Linked DNA regions of Macaca fascicularis. The protein of the gene in region 2 purifies or fractionates together with the protein of the main gene of each other region. This does not show direct contact. Links are inferred from orthologs where the notes say so. Each region holds a gene or a part of one and is shown on either strand. Other genes may lie near its edges. The genes, in order: NFKBIE and RELB.

Evidence for each region.
Region 1: the proteins of RELB (region 2) and NFKBIE purify together in Homo sapiens (affinity purification with mass spectrometry; 3 studies listed by BioGRID and IntAct, counting the BioPlex papers as one, with this or other methods). This does not show direct contact. The link is inferred for Macaca fascicularis from reciprocal best matches to the Homo sapiens genes RELB and NFKBIE.

What each region holds. Positions count from the first base shown.
Region 1 is NC_088378.1:127,253,219-127,261,412, forward strand, and holds NFKBIE (NF-kappa-B inhibitor epsilon), read left to right. Parts: upstream 1-212; 5' UTR 213-417; coding exon 418-782; intron 783-3,100; coding exon 3,101-3,203; intron 3,204-3,910; coding exon 3,911-4,133; intron 4,134-5,487; coding exon 5,488-5,576; intron 5,577-5,743; coding exon 5,744-5,983; intron 5,984-6,743; coding exon 6,744-6,809; 3' UTR 6,810-7,852; downstream 7,853-8,194. UniProt on the Homo sapiens protein: Sequesters NF-kappa-B transcription factor complexes in the cytoplasm, thereby inhibiting their activity. Sequestered complexes include NFKB1-RELA (p50-p65) and NFKB1-REL (p50-c-Rel) complexes.
Region 2 is NC_088393.1:53,074,741-53,082,827, reverse strand, and holds the end of RELB (transcription factor RelB), read right to left. Parts: intron 4,481-8,087; coding exon 4,101-4,480; 3' UTR 3,699-4,100; downstream 1-3,698. Other genes in the region: CLASRP (CLK4-associating serine/arginine rich protein), read right to left, coding at 986-1,084.

The DNA.
Region 1 (8,194 bases), on a different chromosome or scaffold from region 2:
TGAATCAACGAAGGAGTGAGTCAAGGCCCGGGAACCACAGACTCCAAGCCTACGCAGAGCCCGGGAAGGGGGATTCCGGAGGGGCGGGGCCTCTTTCCGGAAGCGCCCGCCGGGGGCGGGGAGGGGGCGGGGCCACCCGGCTTGCAGCGACCCTGTTGGTCCGGAGGGGCGGGGCGAGGAGGAGGACCCGCTTGGGCGGTTCGGCTGCCCACAGTAACCGCTGGGTGGACCCGGCCAGCGCTCCGAACCTTGTCCTCGCTGTGCGCCGGCCTCTCGGAGCCCCACAGCCCGGGAAGGAGGCCGCCGCGGGCCTGGCGCCCGCTCTGCCAAGCGGACCCGCAACCCGGAAAGGCGGCGCGGCAGAGCCCGTAGCCGGATCCTGCTTAGACCGGGCCCCCGCGGGCCAGCGCCGCGGGCATGTCGGAGGCGCGGAAGGGGCCGGACGAGGCGGACGAGAGCCAGTACGACTCTGGCATTGAGTCTCTGCGCTCTCTGCGCTCCCTACCCGAGCCGACCTCGGCTCCCGCCTCCGGGCCCTCGGACGGCAGCCCCCAGCCCTGCACCCACCCTCCGGGGCCCGCCAAGGAACCACAGCAGAAGGAAGACGCGGATGGGGAGCGGGCTGATTCCACCTATGGCTCCTCCTCGCTCACCGAGAGCCTGTCCTTGCTGGGGGGTCCCGAGGCTGAGGACCCGGCCCCACGCCCGCCACTCCCCCACGTGGGGGCGCTGAGCCCTCAGCAGCTGGAAGCACTCACTTACATCTCCGAGGACGGAGACACGTGAGTATGGGGGCTAGGCGGGATGCTAACTCTGGGCCTGCCCAAGAGCCGCAACAGGCCGGGCACCCCTACTCCCCCGTGAGGATCCTTCAAGTCCCCATTCACTGTTCCAAACTCCAGACTTAACTCTCAGCCAACTTTTGAGGTCCAGCCAGGCCATGGCATCATCTCTGTTCTCCCATTTCGGGGTGGGCAGAGCTGGCAGGACCCTTAACTCAGGGACCCCAGCCAGCATCTTGGAAATCTACCAATAATCCACCCTTAGGAAGAGAAAATTCCCCTGACCGAGTCCAGTTTTTTTGTTTCTTCTTGCTGGGGAAGGGGACATCCTTATTTGCTCAATATCTGGGATTCCCAGTTCCTGACCTCAGAATGCTCTGTCTCCAGGAGCAACAGGTGCCAGTTACAGGTTGCCAGTAGGGGCCAGGAAGCTAGGCGTGGGGGTGCCACCAGGGTGTAGGATTGGGGCTGGTCCTCAGGAGGAGGGGGTGAGCCAGGCTGGGGCACTCTTGCCCCAGCAGACAGATAGGCGGCTGGCTGCCCCAGCTTACTTCCTCCTCTGCTAAGAAAGGGGAAGTGAGGGCTAGAGTCAGCGTCCCTGATATCCTCTACCTCCAGAGACCCCAAGTCCCACTAACTGTTGTGTCTTACTCCCTCACTTAACCCTTCCTCCTTCAGACCCAGGTGGAGTTTTGTGGGAGTGGGCCAGAGGGCAGTTGAAGTAAAAGGCAGTTGTGTGTGATGGGTTGGCCAACTGAGGATTTAGCCCCCCAGGAAGAAGAAAACATTGACACAGGAGGGAAAGGTTGGGATCTGGGGATGAGAAATAGAGTTGGGGAGGGCTAGAATCCCTGATCAAGGGTGCTCATATAAATAGGAGTAGGGGAGGCAGGAGGTGGCTGTCCTAACCTGCTTTTTGGAGATGCAGGGTCCCAATCCTGGGTGGCCATTGATAAAGATAGCTGGTGCACACAGTGGGTGGGAGAGGAGTGACCCAGTCCTTTCTGTACTCTGCCTGGATCACCAGCCCTCAGGTCCAGAACCCCAAGGTTTTGGGGGCTGCATGCAAGATACCTCTGATGACCTTTGATCCAAGGAGAGGGAACTTTTGACACTGCCGTCTTTTGTTAGCCTCTCAGCCCCAGCCTTTTCCATCTCTAGTTAGAAGCAGGTGTTGTGTCCAGACTGGGTGTGTGTGTGGAGGGGAGAAGTGTCCGGGCTTCCCAGCGAGTCCCCAGAGAGGAGGGGCACTTTCCTCCCTCCGTTGGAGGTGTCTGGGCTGTGGGAGGTATGGAAGTGGGAAGAGGAAGTGGGAGGAGGGGATACTGGGGAAGAGAGGGAGGTGGCTGCAAGAATGTGACCCAGAGAGCAGGCCCTGGCCGAGGGGATTTCCAGAGCAGTTCCTCCCTCCCTCCGTCACTCTCCTGGGCCTCTCCTGCTGCCTGCCGCCGAAGCCTGCCGCCCTCCTGCCCAAGCAGTCCCCTCCCCAGTCCAGACGGGCCTTTTAGCCAAGCTACCCCCCTCACTCATGCCCCAAGGCAGCTGTCCCGGCCTAGACCCTCCAGCACTGGCTTTCATTTTCCCCACCTGACGTGGGGAAACCCCGAGACTGGAACTTCCCCTCCCAACTGCCCCCATTACCCCTAGATTAAGGTTCTTGGCCCCCTCAACAAATACATTTTCTGCACTACAAAGACCTCCTCTTGGAGGTGCACACAGGAATGGATGGCCTCTGTTAGGCCCGACCTGGTCTGTGCTATCTGAGAGGTGTCTCTTGACTCCCAGGGAAGGGCAGCAGGACAGGATGCTGCACTGTCTCCTTGCTCCTCTTCCAAGAGTTTCTGTGTCTCTCCCTTGGAATGTGTTAACATTGAGTTGCTTGGGGGTATGGGGTGACCCTGCATCTGTCTCCTTTCCTGTGAGCTGAGGTAGTGGGGTGCTCGGCCTGGAAACCCCCTCTGGACTACTTCGGCAGCTTTCAATTTGGCTTTGAGCTGCAGCTGGCCGGGCAGAGCCCTGAGGGCAAAGAGGAGTGGGTGTGGGCAGGCTGGACAGGAAGGCCCTTGTCCTGTCAGCACCCTGCCCACATGCCCATCCAGCCAAGGCCCTCCTGAAGGCCAGCAGTGGGAACTTGGAGCTCCAACCCCTAGGATCCTGGCTTCCCACACCAACCCTCACTTCCTGGCCCACACTCTCACTTCCTGAACCTACCCTATGGGTAGCTAGTTAAAGTTTGATGTGTTCCTTCTAACCCCAAGACCCCAACCCACTCCCTCTGGCCTGGGCCCTAACGCTGAGCCCCGCCTCTGCTCCCCTAGGCTGGTCCACCTGGCAGTGATTCACGAGGCCCCAGCGGTGCTGCTCTGTTGCCTGGCTTTGCTGCCCCAGGAGGTCCTGGACATTCAAAATAACCTTTACCAGGTTGGTGGCGAGAGAGGGTTGTGCCTAGATACCTGTTTGTGCCCTGGCAGCCATCCCCAGCAGGCACACCAGTCCAAAGGCTGCTCACTTAGGAAACCAAATGCCAGACACAGCTAGAAACTGAGGAGACAGACACAAGTAAGACATGGCCTCTGCGCTGAGGTGCTTGCAGCCTGGGCTGGGGGACTCATATCACCAGCTAAATACACAGCCTGGTGACAAGAGTTGTGATAGAGACACATACCAGCTGCTGTAGGGTCCAGGGTCTGTGTGCAGCAGCCAGGGAAGGCTTACAGAGGAGATGACATCTGAATGGAGCCTTCACAGAGAGTTTCGCCAGGGAGGGACTGCCTGGTGCCTCTCTTTCCTCCTGCAGCCTACCCTCTGGGGGTAACAGAGGTCTCCCCATGGGGTGGGGGGCTAGACTCTGCCCCCACATGTCCTTTCTCCAGGGCCTAAGGTGACTTACAAGAAAAGCAGGGAGCTACTTTCTTCACCTTTCTTCCAGAATTGGGGTCACAAGAGCTTGGTGGGGGAGGGGGTGACAGGAGAAGGGCTTGGTAGGATTTCCTTGGAAGAACAGGCTATGGCCTTAATGAGCTACTTTCAAAGAAGATGCTGGCAGCTGGTGATTCTTGAGCCCAAGCAGGTTCCCAGAGGTGGGAGCATGCTGCAGTGGCCCCATGACCCTCTGTTTGTGCCTCCAGACAGCACTCCATCTGGCTGTACATCTGGACCAACCGGGTGCAGTTCGGGCACTGGTGCTAAAGGGGGCCAGCCGGGCACTACAGGACCGGCATGGTGACACAGCCCTTCATGTGGCCTGCCAGCGCCAGCACCTGGCCTGTGCCCGCTGCCTGCTGGAGGGGCGGCCAGAGCCAGGCAGAGGAACATCTCACTCTCTGGACCTCCAGCTGCAAAACTGGCAAGGTGTGGACAGTCTTAAGGGCCTGTGGGATGAGGAGGGCATAGGAGATAGGGACCCCACTCTTGGGGAAGGGAGGGTCCCAGCTTGTCCATTGGTGCCCCTCCCACTCTAAGCACATAGATATTCCGTACATCTTTGCTAAATGAATGAATGGATGATTTGATTTTGAATTTACCCAGTACCTACTGTGTGCTGAGCAGAAAACTAAATCTTGCCCTTAAGATACTTAGTTTAAGGGCCGGGTACGGTGTCTCACGCCTGTAATCCCAGCACTTTGGGAAGCCAAGGCAGGTGGATCACGAGGTCAGGAGATCGAGACCATCCCAGCTAACATGGTGAAACCCCGTCTCTACTAATAATACAAAAAATTAGCCGGATGTGGTGATGGGCACCTGTAGTCCCAGCTACTCAGGAGGCTGAGGCAGGAGAATGGCGTGAACCCGGGAGGCGGAGCTTGCAGTGAGCCAAGATTGGGCCACTGCACTCCAGCCTGGGCGACAGAGAGAGACTCCATCTCAAAAAAAAAAAAAAAAGATAGTTAGCTTAATAGAGATTAGATGACCTGATTCATTCATTCAACAGAAATGTACTGAGGGTTTTCTATGTGCCAGACATTATCTTGGGAGCTACACCTGCATCTGGGTGCAAAATAGAGAAAGGTTGAGATGAGCAATAAATATAAGAAGTGAACTGTGTAATATCATAAAAGGAAGTAAGTGCTGTAGTAAAAAGTAGAGCGGAGTGAGAGGAAGGAATGTGGGGAGTAGGAGAGTTGATATGATTGTTAAATAGGGTGGCCCGGGAAGGCCTCATGGAGCCAGTGACATCTGAATAGGGCCTTGAAGGAGGTGAAGAATGTAAATTTGAATCGAAATCTCTATTACTAAGCAAGGGTCAGGAGTGTCCAGACCAGAAAGGAGAGCAAAAAGGCCAGGGGAGCACAGAAGGAAGTGGCCACTGAGAAAGGGCTAGGGTCATGAGGATCTTAGGTGGCTTTTCAGAAAAGGTGGCTTTCTGGGCTTGAAGGCAGGTTGTGTGTGTGTGTGTGTGTGTGTGTGTGTGTGTGTGTGTGTGTTGTGATTTGTGTATAGGAGGAGGGTGTTCTTTGGGGGTGTCACTCAGCAGCCTGACCCCTGAAGCATGAAAGTTTCAATAACATGACTCTGAAAAGGTGGAAACTTTGAGTTCCTTTCCCCTTAGACTTTTGAGGGGGTTTTGGGGTTTGCATTTTAACAGTCTTGTGATTAGAGACATTGAGTGGGCAGTGAGTCCCTTGGGGCTGAGTGATAGGGAGGTCCCAGAAGAGAGGGAGTTGGTGGATGCAGATGAGCAGCCCTCACCCTCACCCCATCCCAGGTCTGGCTTGTCTCCACATTGCCACCCTTCAGAAGAACCAACCACTCATGGAACTGCTGCTTCAGAATGGAGCTGACATTGACGTGCAGGTGAGGCAGCCAGCAAAGCACTGCCCAGCCCAGGGCCTGCCCCCACCTGACACAGCCCCAAGCCCCTGCCCAGCAGTCAGAAGTGGTGGCATTCACCTCCTTATCCAGAGCCCAGGCCCAGCACACTGCCTCTGAGGGCCTTGGCTGACATCCTTATTCCTTCCCAGGAGGGCACCAGTGGGAAGACAGCGCTGCACCTGGCTGTGGAAACCCAAGAGCGGGGCCTGGTACAGTTCCTGCTCCAGGCTGGTGCCCAGGTAGATGCCCGCATGCTGAACGGGTGCACACCCCTGCACCTGGCAGCTGGCCGGGGCCTCATGGGCATCTCATCCACTCTGTGCAAGGCGGGTGCTGACTCCCTGCTGCGGAACGTGGAGGATGAGACGCCCCAGGACCTCACTGAGGAAGTAAGAAGCATATGCTTTGCTCTCCAGGGCCTCACACACCCACAGCAGAGAGAGGTTCTGTCATTAGCTGAAAGGGCCAGGGAGCCAGGAGTCCTGGGGTATAACCAGGACTCTATCACTGACCAACTATGGGAACTTGAGCCTGTTTCCTTAGTTGGTCAGGACCAGGGAGCCAAATTTGGACCCCTACAGGGAGCCTGCAGTTAAAGTGAATCAGTGAAGTTGGCCAGGTATGAGACCATGGTGTAATGAGGCCTGTAAGAACCCAGAGAGCCATCCCTGAGGGTCTCTGCACTCAGCTTCAGCACAGGCTTACAGAGCAGGAGTGTGGGCCAGTTTTTCCTGGTCTTGGAATTTTTGGGGAGGTGAAACCCAGATTTTCTGTACAGTCTTTCCTATTCTTAAATGTTCAGTGTAAAAAAAGAAACCTAAATGTTCTATGAGTACCCAGCACCCCCTCCACCACCCCCCAACAACAACAAACAACTCCAGGTCCATGGGCTGGATCACCTCTAAGGTCCCTCCTAAGTTGGATATTCTGGCATTATCTTAGAAAAGGAAGGCTTGCCTAAGTCCTCAGGGCTCTGCCAAGCCCAGAGGGGCCACTATTTTGAGGATTTGTATGAAGATTTGTTCCCTGATGGTCTTCAACTGTCATTTGGTGGGGAGGGAGTGGCCCAACAGGTTTCCCTGGGTCCCCTTTCCCAAGTTGCCTTTTCCCGTGTCCTCTGATCTTGCTTCTCTCCATTCTCCTTCTCAGTCCCTTGTCCTTTTGCCCTTTGATGACCTGAAGATCTCAGGGAAACTGCTGCTGTGTACCGACTGAATCCAGGCAGAGTCTGGGATCCTCGGGGCTCCATCTCTTTCCATTTGGAAGCCGGAGTCATAACTGCTGCAGTTTGGGCCCAGGCTGTGTGTTCTTCTGGTGCCCTAGGGACTGCTGTGGCCAGAGCTTGGGGCCAGCCAGTACAGTCCTGAGCTGAGGAGGAGGGACTGCAAGTGAGAGACAGCCAGTCTGGAAGGAAGAGCTTTCCAGGTGGACAGGGATTCTTGGAAGATCCCCAAAGTCCCAGGTATCCTGGGTGAAGCCTGTTTGCCTCTCTTGAAAATGGCAGGTGCTCTTGTGTGTGCCCATGTTGGGTCAGGCTGAAACTGCCAACCAGTGGGAAACATGGACTCTCCTGAGTGAGAAGAGACTGAAATAGGAGCAAGCAGAACCCTGAGGGGTGTCCCATCTTATTGCTGTTGAGGACCCTTAAACACTGCTGTTTAAAGACTTCACAGGGAAGGTTCTGAACTGAGCCACTGGGGAAGGAACTTTCAGTAACATGACACTAAAATGGCAAGAGATGTTAAAAAAAGCTTTTCCCTTCTAGAGCTGTTTTGCGCGCATGCATGTCTGTGTGCATTGGGGCTTTTTAGACAGGCCTGCCCTGTGGCTTTGTCGTGGAGGTAGAGAGAAGGAAATTGTGCCCTGAGCACGGTAGGACCTTGCTGGGTGGGGTCAGAGGCCAGTAGTCCCCAGGCCTTTCTCTGTGTCCAGCACAGACCCTGTCCTTGCTGTGGAAATGATGAGGGATAGAAGGAGAGGAGGAAGAATGAGAGGACACAGGCCCTGGAGCCCTCACCACTGCCCTGGGGGCTGCCATCTGGAGGAGCCTGGCGACAAGGGTAACCCAGGGAGGCTGGGCACAAGGGAGCTGAGTCCACGTTTTTCCTCCCATTCCTCACCTTCGAGGGCCCTGCTAGGTCAGCCCTATGCTGGCATGAAGAGCGTGGGGCAATAAACCAGCACAGTCGCTGACCACTCATCCAGTGAGGGAGACAGCCGTTAAAAGCATAAACATCCAAATAAAGATGTCCTTACAAGTTGCAGTGGGTGCTATGAAGGGAAAAGAATAATGGGAAGGAAAAGGATGGAGTCGGTAGAGGGTTATGCTTTTTGTGGTCCGGGAACCCCGCCTGAGGAGTATCATCTCAACTGGGATGTAAGGATGAGTAAAGGGATGGGGGCAGAGCATTTGGGGGAAGGCCTGTGAATTAGAGGAAATGAGAGCAAGCCAGCGGGGCTTCACAGCGGGTGAGTGAGTGGGCGAGGAACGCTGGCGAGGCCATGTAGAGCCTCGAAAGTCATGGGAAGTGGGGGGACAGAATTACTACCCAGCCAACAAAGGAAAGAGACACCTTCGTTCTGTCAGAAAACGGGGAAAC
Region 2 (8,087 bases):
GAAAATGTCTATATAAATGTCATCTGACAGGAAAACTGAACCTAGTAAACAGGTGCCATTTCAAGCTGGGATCCCAAGGAGACAGAGGAGTTAAACAGGTGAGGAGGGGGTAATACAGGCCAAAGCCCCGTGGTGGCAGAAATAGAAGGCCAGTGGAGCTGTCCAAGGATGAAGCTCAGTGGTCAGACCACAAGGGTCTTTTAGGCCAGGGATAGTTTGGTCTTCCCCCCAAAACAACTGAAGCATCAAACAGGAGAGGGAAGTGGTCAGGTTTCACTTAATATTCACTCCTTTTTTTTTTTTCCTTTTTTTTGAGACAGAATCTAGCTCTGTCACCCAGGCTGGAGTGCAGTGGCGCCATCTCCGTGCACTGCAGCTTCCCCCTCCCAGGCTAAGCAATTCTCGTGCCTCAGCCTCCCGAGTAGCTGGGACTACATGCACACACCACTAAGCCTGGCTAATTTATGTATCTTTAGTAGAGACGGGATTTCACCATTTTTGCCAGGCTGGTCTCAAACTCGTGACCTCAGGTGATCTGCCCACCTCGGCCTCCCAAAGTGCTGGGATTACAGGTGTGAGCCACCGTGCCCAGCCAACTTAATACTCACTCCTATTGTGTGCCAAGCCAAACCTCAAGAGTGGCTGAGCTCTTCTGGGAATGGGGAACCCAGCAACAAGCAAAACAGACAACGTTCTGGAGGTGGCCAGTCTAACGTCAGGACTGCTCTGAGGATTACAGAGACTTCCCTTTTTCTTGCTAACACCAGATCGGCACTGGGAGGCCACACCAAACGACACAGTATGTTACAACAAACAGAAGCTCTTGGGATCCTAACAATGACTATGCTCAAGAAAAGATTAATGAATATACTCCTGAGGAAATAAGCCTCTTGTCTTGACATACTTCCAAGCCCAGATTTTACCAGGATGACCTGTGTCCCCCAAACTAGGGTCCCCCACCCCAGACGAAAGGCCAGTTACTCACGATCTTTTCATAATACTCCCGTCTCCGCTCCGCCCTCTTCTTGTAGTCGACCATCATGCCTCGAAGTTTCCGCTCATGCTTCCGAGCCTCGTGCCACATTGTGGTGAGGCCAAGCCTGGGGCCTCAACCTGAGGGATGAAGGGACCAGGAAAGGAAGATGGGCTGTGAAAACCATATGGGCAGAATCAAAGTCATCTAACAAGTTGGTGACAGAGTCGATCCCAAACAACACATCGCTTAGCTTCAGGGAGCAGAAGTGAAGCTGCAGAACGGTATGCCAGATGTTCAAGTCCATCCCTAACAACTTCGATCTGGCAACTTGGGCATTCTAAAAAACCCTTAGGTGATTCTGAGGTGAGCATCCCTGGGAAAGGGGTGTCCTACATTCCATGCGCTGGAGTCGGGGATGAAAGTTTTGAAACATCAGTAGGGTCAGTAGTTTGAAGTAGGGTCAGACGGCAAACCCTGAGCACCTAAGGCTGGAGCTCAAGAGAAAGAGAAGAGCTGAAAAGGCTCCCACTAGGGGCCATGCGTGGGTATGAGTCTGGGTGCTAGAGGGATAAGGAAGGTAAGGATGAAGGCAGGTGGAGGAAATCGGAGAAAGCCTTTAAGGGAACAGTGCAGTTGCATGAAGGTGGAGGTCGAGGACAGGTGAAGGGCGTGGCGGAAAATGAAGATGCTAGAGGGAGTAGGAACACGGGAAGAGAGTGTTGCAAGGAGACCAGAGTGAAGTTGAGGTCTAAAGATGGGATCTAGATGGCAGGGTGTGGAGAGTACCCAAGGAAAAAGAGGGTAGAGCTTGAGAGAGGCGGAGTTGGCTGACGGGAGGGCGTGGGCTGAGCTTGGGGGCAGGGCTTGTGGGAAAGGGAGGAGACCGAAGGTTTGGACAGGGCTTGTGGATCGCGTCGCGGCCTGAGGATTTGGGCTGGATTGTTTTTTTTGGGTTTTTTTTTGACATGGGGGCGGGGACTGTGATAAGCTGTTGGCCGAAGGCCGAGTCCGACGCGGCAACTTCTGGCCCACAGCCGGGGCACGGGCGCGGCCTGAGGCCCGTCAGGCCGAATGGGGTGAGGGACGAGCGATCCTCGGGGCCGGGACGCAGCAGAAGCCTACAGCAGTATGGGAAAAGCCTAAGGAAAGGGAGAAGCTGGGCTGACGCCTGCCCGAAAACCGGGAGGTCGAGCCCGCCGCCTGCACTCACCGGCTGGTCTCCGCCTCCCAAAGCTGCGCTCGCGCGCTGCCCGCACAGGAAGCGGAAATGAAAGGCCGCGCTAGGGAGAGGGGGCGGAGCGTGGTGGAGCTCTGCACAGCGCAGTTCCGCCGACGTGAGGGGCGGGTCCTAGGGTTGAGAGGGGCGGGGTCAGAGGAAGAAGCGGTAGAACCGAGAAGGGAAGAGCTTGGATGCTTTATCTTTTTTAATTTTATTTATTTATTTTTATTTTTATTTATTTTTTTTTTGGATTGCAAAAATTTATTAAAATTGGAGACACTGTTTTAATCTTCTTGTGCCATGAGACTCCATCAGGCTGTCTACAAAGACCATTGGGAGGCTGAGGATCACTTGAGCCCAGACGTCTGAGGCTGTAGTAAGCTTCAGAGGGCCACTGCACTCCAGCTTGGGTGAGGAAAGACCCTGTCTTTCAAGCGGTAAGCTGCATGCTTGCTTGCTGTGGTCATTAAAAACCCTAGTTTAGGATAACAGGTCTGCCTGTTTGAAGATGAAAAATAATCCCATTTAAAATTTGCCCTACTCCATTTCCTTTTCAGTCACATTTCAACTTTTAAACAGCTAATCACTCCCATCTACAGATTAAGATGTATATGCCACTAAAACCTTTTGCCACCTTAAAAATTTCCTTGAGGCCGGGCGCGGTGGCTCAAGCCTGTAATCCCAGCACTTTGGGAGGCCGAGACGAGTGGATCACGAGGTCAGGAGATCGAGACCATCCTGGCAAACACGGTGAAACCCCGTCTCTACTAAAAAATACAAAAAAACTAGCTGGGCGAGGTGGCGGGCGCCTGTAGTCCCAGCTACTCGGGAGGCTGAGGCAGGAGAATGGCGTAAACCCGGGAGGCGGAGCTTGCAGTGAGCTGAGATCCAGCCACTGCACTCCAGCCTGGGCGACAGAGCCAGACTCCATCTCAAAAAAAAAAAAAAATTTCCTTGAAAGTTTAAACTAACCTGCATTTCTTCAAGCATGAAATCTGAGTCCTGAAATTAAGGGACAATACACAGTAAGACAACTTGCATACAATTAAGGGTAACCCAAAATCTCCAAACACTATAGAATGACTATATTCCCCTTTTCAGGGCATAAACTAGAATGTTACAGCCATCTTTTTATCTTTTTTATTTTATTTTATTTTTTTTTCTGAGACGGAGTCTGTCTTTGTCGCCCAGGCTAGAGTGGCGCGATCTAGGCTCACTGCAACCTTTGCCTCCTGGGTTCAAGCAATTCTCCCACCTCAGCCTCCCGAGTAGCTGGGACTACAGGCATGCGCCACCATGCCCGGCTAATTTTTGTATTTTTTGTAGAGACTAGGTTTCGTCTTTTTGCCCAGGCTGATCTCAAACTCGTGAGCTCAAGCGATCCTCCCGCCTTGGCCTCCCAAAGTGCTGGGATGACAGGCCTGAGCCCCCAGCCAGGAGGCTTTCTTTGCTACGTAAGGAACTAGGGCGTTTCCCAAGCGCAGAATAGACGAAACTCCCGAGGCTCAAAAACTCATCTTTATTGGGAAGACTCTGAACAACCAACCTACCCCCCACCTTCAAGTCTGGGGAGGAAGGGCCGGGCATCTGCCCCCTCCTCCCATATGTACAATCTTTTCCGAATCCTACTGGAGAAGGTTCCCCCACATGTGGTGACAGAGGCAGCTTTAACAAGCTAGTGCTCGGGAGCCATGTCCCTTTTCCTCTCCGGACTCAGTTTCCTCATCTGCAAAATGGGCTCAAGGGGAAACCCGTGCAACGGAGCTTCTCGCCAAGGCTTGAATATGTCCATTTCAGAAGCATGAGGAAGGGCCAAGGGGATGGGGGTGCTAGACATCCTGGTTGGGATTGCACAGCTCCTCCACCTCCCTCCCCACCCAGTGCCCCTCCTCTGGCATCGCGGGGCTACGTGGCTTCAGGCCCGGGGGATAGGAGGCCGCCCCCAAAGGCCGCCTCGCGGTACTGATTGGGGAACATGTTGCTGCCCACGAGGCTGGCGGTGCCTCCATCCCCGGGGCCCGGGGCCTGGTACGAGTCCAGCGTCAGCGGTTCAGGGCCAGGGGGCTCCCCAACCACGGCTCCGGCACTGCACACAACAGCGCTAGCATGTGGTGGTGCCGGGGGCAGCAGGTCCAGCATGGTGAAGAGTGTGGGGGCCGTAGGGTCGTAGGCAAAGCCATCATCCAGGAGGTCAGGCCCGCCAGGGGGCTCCAGGCCGGGCAGGGACACGGTGCCAGAGAAGAAGTCAGGGTCTGGCAGCAGGGCTGACGGCGGGAGGAACGGGCCTACGGGGATGAAGACAGAGAAGTGTAGTGTGATTTAGGGCCAACTTCTGACCAGGCCCTAATTCAAATGCCCCACTTCCTGCAAAATGTGATATCAAGGTGGCCTTTTTTTTTTTTTTTTGAGATGGAATCTCATTCTGTCGCCCAGGCTGGAAGGCAGTCGTGTACTCTTGGCTCACCGCAACCTCTTCCTCCCTGGTTCAAGTCGATTCCCCTGCTTCAGTCTCCCGAGTAGCTGGAACTACAGGCACGTGCCACGCCCAGCTAATTATTCTTTTTAGTAGAGATGGGGTTTCATCACGTTTGCCAGGCTGGTCTCGAACTCCTGACCTCAGGTGATCCACCTGCCTCAGCCTCCCAAAGTGCTGGGATTACAGGTATGAGCCACCAAGCCTGGCCTTAAGGTGCCATCTTAATCCCAAGGAGAATCCATGTGGGACTATCACCATTCTCAGATAATAACTAAATTGAAGGCCAAGAATGTAGCCTTTTGGCATGGTGGTTCACACCTGTAATCCCAACACAACATAGCAGACCCTGTCTCTACGAAAAAATTATTTAAAAGTTAGCTGGGTGTGGTGGTGCACGCCTGTAGTCCCAGCTACTTGGCAGGCTGAGGCAGAAGGATTGCTTGAGCCCAGTTTGAGGCTGCAGGGAAGTATGATTACATCACTGCACTCCAGCCTGGGCAACAGAGCAAGACCTTGTCTCTAAAAGTAGTGATAATAAGAAGTAAACTAAGGCACTGAGGGCACTGAGGGAAAGTCAGTGGAAGGCTCACACAACTGTTGTGGAACTAGCATGTGAAACCATGCTCCTACACAGCTGTGGAGAGTTTTCCCTGAGAGTGAGGAAGGAGAAGAGGTTCCAAAGCCCCCCAACATACAGAGACAACCCAAAAAGTGAAATCTCCAGACCATGGGAGACACAAGTTGGGAAGTCACCAGTCCCAAAATTGTCAGAAAAAATAAATGTCGGCCGGGCGTGGTGGCTCAAGCCTGTAATCCCAGCACTTTGGGAGGCCGAGACGGGCGGATCACGAGGTCAGGAGATTGAGACCATCCTGGCTAACAAGGTGAAACCCCATCTCTACTAAAAAATACAAAAAACTAGCCTGGCGAGGTGGCGGACGTCTGTAGTCCCAGCTACTCGGGAGGCTGACGCAGGAGAATGGCATAAACCCGGGAGGCGGAGCTTGCAGTGAGCTGAGATCCAGCCACTGCACTCCAGCCTGGGCGACAGAGCGAGACTCCGTCTCAAAAAAAAAAAAAAAAGAAAAAAAAAATGTCATTCTTAGGCATAATGAGGACTTAAGAAAAAATAACAATCAAATCAAAAAGTTTCATTATAAGAGGGATTCTCTGGCCAGGCATGGTGGCTCACACCTGTAATCCCAGCACTTTGGTGGGCCGAGGCAGGCAGATTACCTAAGGTCAGAAGTTCAAGATCAGCCTGGCCAACATGGCAAAACCCTGGCTCTCCCAAAAATACAAAAATTAATTGGGCGTGGTGGTAGGCGCCTATAATCCCAGCTACTCGGGAGACTGAGGCAGGAGAATCACTTGAACCTGGGAGGCGGATGTTGCAGTGAGCCGAGATTGCGCCACTGCACTCCAGCCTAGGCAACAGAGCAAGACTGTCTCAAAAAAAAAAAAGAGGGACTCTCTTTTTGGAACAAGACAAACCTTAGAGATACAAGGCTACTGGGACTCTTTTCTAGCCTTCCTTGCAGCCTGATGCGATCATGTGACTAAGTTCTGCTAACTGGAATGTGGGCATAATGGCTGGAGTTACAACAGCCATCTTGCACCATGAGATGGCAAACTGAAAATAACAGAAGCCTGGGTCTCTCGATGATCATGCAGTTACCAGACCATCCCTGGAACACACCTACAGACTGTTTTTTGTTTCTTGTTTTTGCCTTGTCACCAGACTGGAGCACAGTGGCACCATCTTGGCTCACTGCAACCTCCACCTTTTGGGTTCATATGATTCTCCTGCCTCAGCCTCCCGAGTAGCTGGGACTACAGGCATGTGCCACCACACCCAGCTAACTTTTGTGTTTTTAGTAGAGATGGAGTTTCACCACGTTGGCCAGGATGGTCTCTCTCCCTTGACCTCGTGATCTACCTGCCTTGGCGTCCCAATATGCTGGGATTACAGCTGTAAGCCACAGTGCCAGGCATGTTTTTTGTTGTTGTTGTTTTGAGAAGGGTCCCGTTCTGTCGCTCAGGCTAAAGTGCAGTGATGCAATCTTGGCTCCCTGCAACCTCCACCTCCTGGGTTCAAGTGATTCTCCTGCCTCAGCCTCTTGAGTAGCTGGGACTACAGATGTGCACCACCACACTTGGCTAATTTTTGTATTTTTAGTAGAAACAGAGTTTTACCATATTGGCCAGGCTGGTCTCAAACTCCTGGCCTGAAGCAGTCCACCCACCTTAGCGTCCCAAAGTGCTGAGATTATAGGCATGGGCCACTTTCAGTCCCTATGGACTATTTATGTGAGACAAGAAATAACGTTCCATCCTGTTGAAGCCCCTGTTATTTTGGGTTTTGCTGTAAATGCAGTTAAATGTGATCACAGGTTGGGTGCAGTGGCTCATGCCTGTAATCCCAGCATTTTGGGAGGCTGAGACAAGCAGATCACTTGAGGTCAGGAGTTCAGGACCAACCTGGCCAACATGGTGAAACCCCGTCTCTACTAAAAATACAAAAATTAGCTGGGCACGGCACCATGTGCCTGTAATCTCAGCTACTCAGGAGGCTGAGGCAGGAGAATCGCTTGAACCCAGGAGGCAGAGGTTGCAGTGAGCCGAGATCACACTATTGCACTCCAACCCGAGCAATAAGAGTGAAACTCCGTCTCAAAAAAAAAAAAAAAAAATGCAAGTTCCTAGGCCGGGCACGGTGGCTCATGCCTGTAATCCCAGCACTTTGGGAGGCCAAGGCAGGCAGATCACAAGGTCAGGAGATCGAGACCATCCCGCCTAACACAGTGAAACCCCGTCTCTACTAAAAATACAAAAAAAGGCCGGGCGCGGTGGCTCAAGCCTGTAATCCCAGCACTTTGGGAGGCCGAGACGGGTGGATCACGAGGTCAGGAGATCGAGACCATCCTGGCTAACACGGTGAAACCCCATCTCTACTAAAAAATACAAAAAACTAGCCGGGCGAGGTGGTGGGCGCCTGTAGTCCCAGCTACTCGGGAGGCTGAGGCAGGAGAATGGCGTAAACCCGGGAGGTGGAGCTTGCAGTGAGCTGAGATCCGGCCACTGCACCCCAGCCTGGGCGACAGAGCAAGACTCCGTCTCAAAAAAAAAAAAAAAAAAAAATTAGCCGGGCGTGGTGGCTCACGCCTGTAATCCCAGCTACTCAGGAGGCTGAGGCAGAAGAATGGCGTGAACCCGTGAGGCAGAGGTTGCAGTGAGCCCATATCACACCACTGCACTACAGCCTGGGCGACAGAGCGAGACTCTGTCTCAAAAAAGAAAAAAAAAAAGAAAAAAAAAAAAGCAAGTTCCTAATATCTCCTGGGCACTAACTCTGCGCCAGCCACCATGATAAATAACCGTACGACATCATCTCACTAAATTCGGGAAAGGACTGT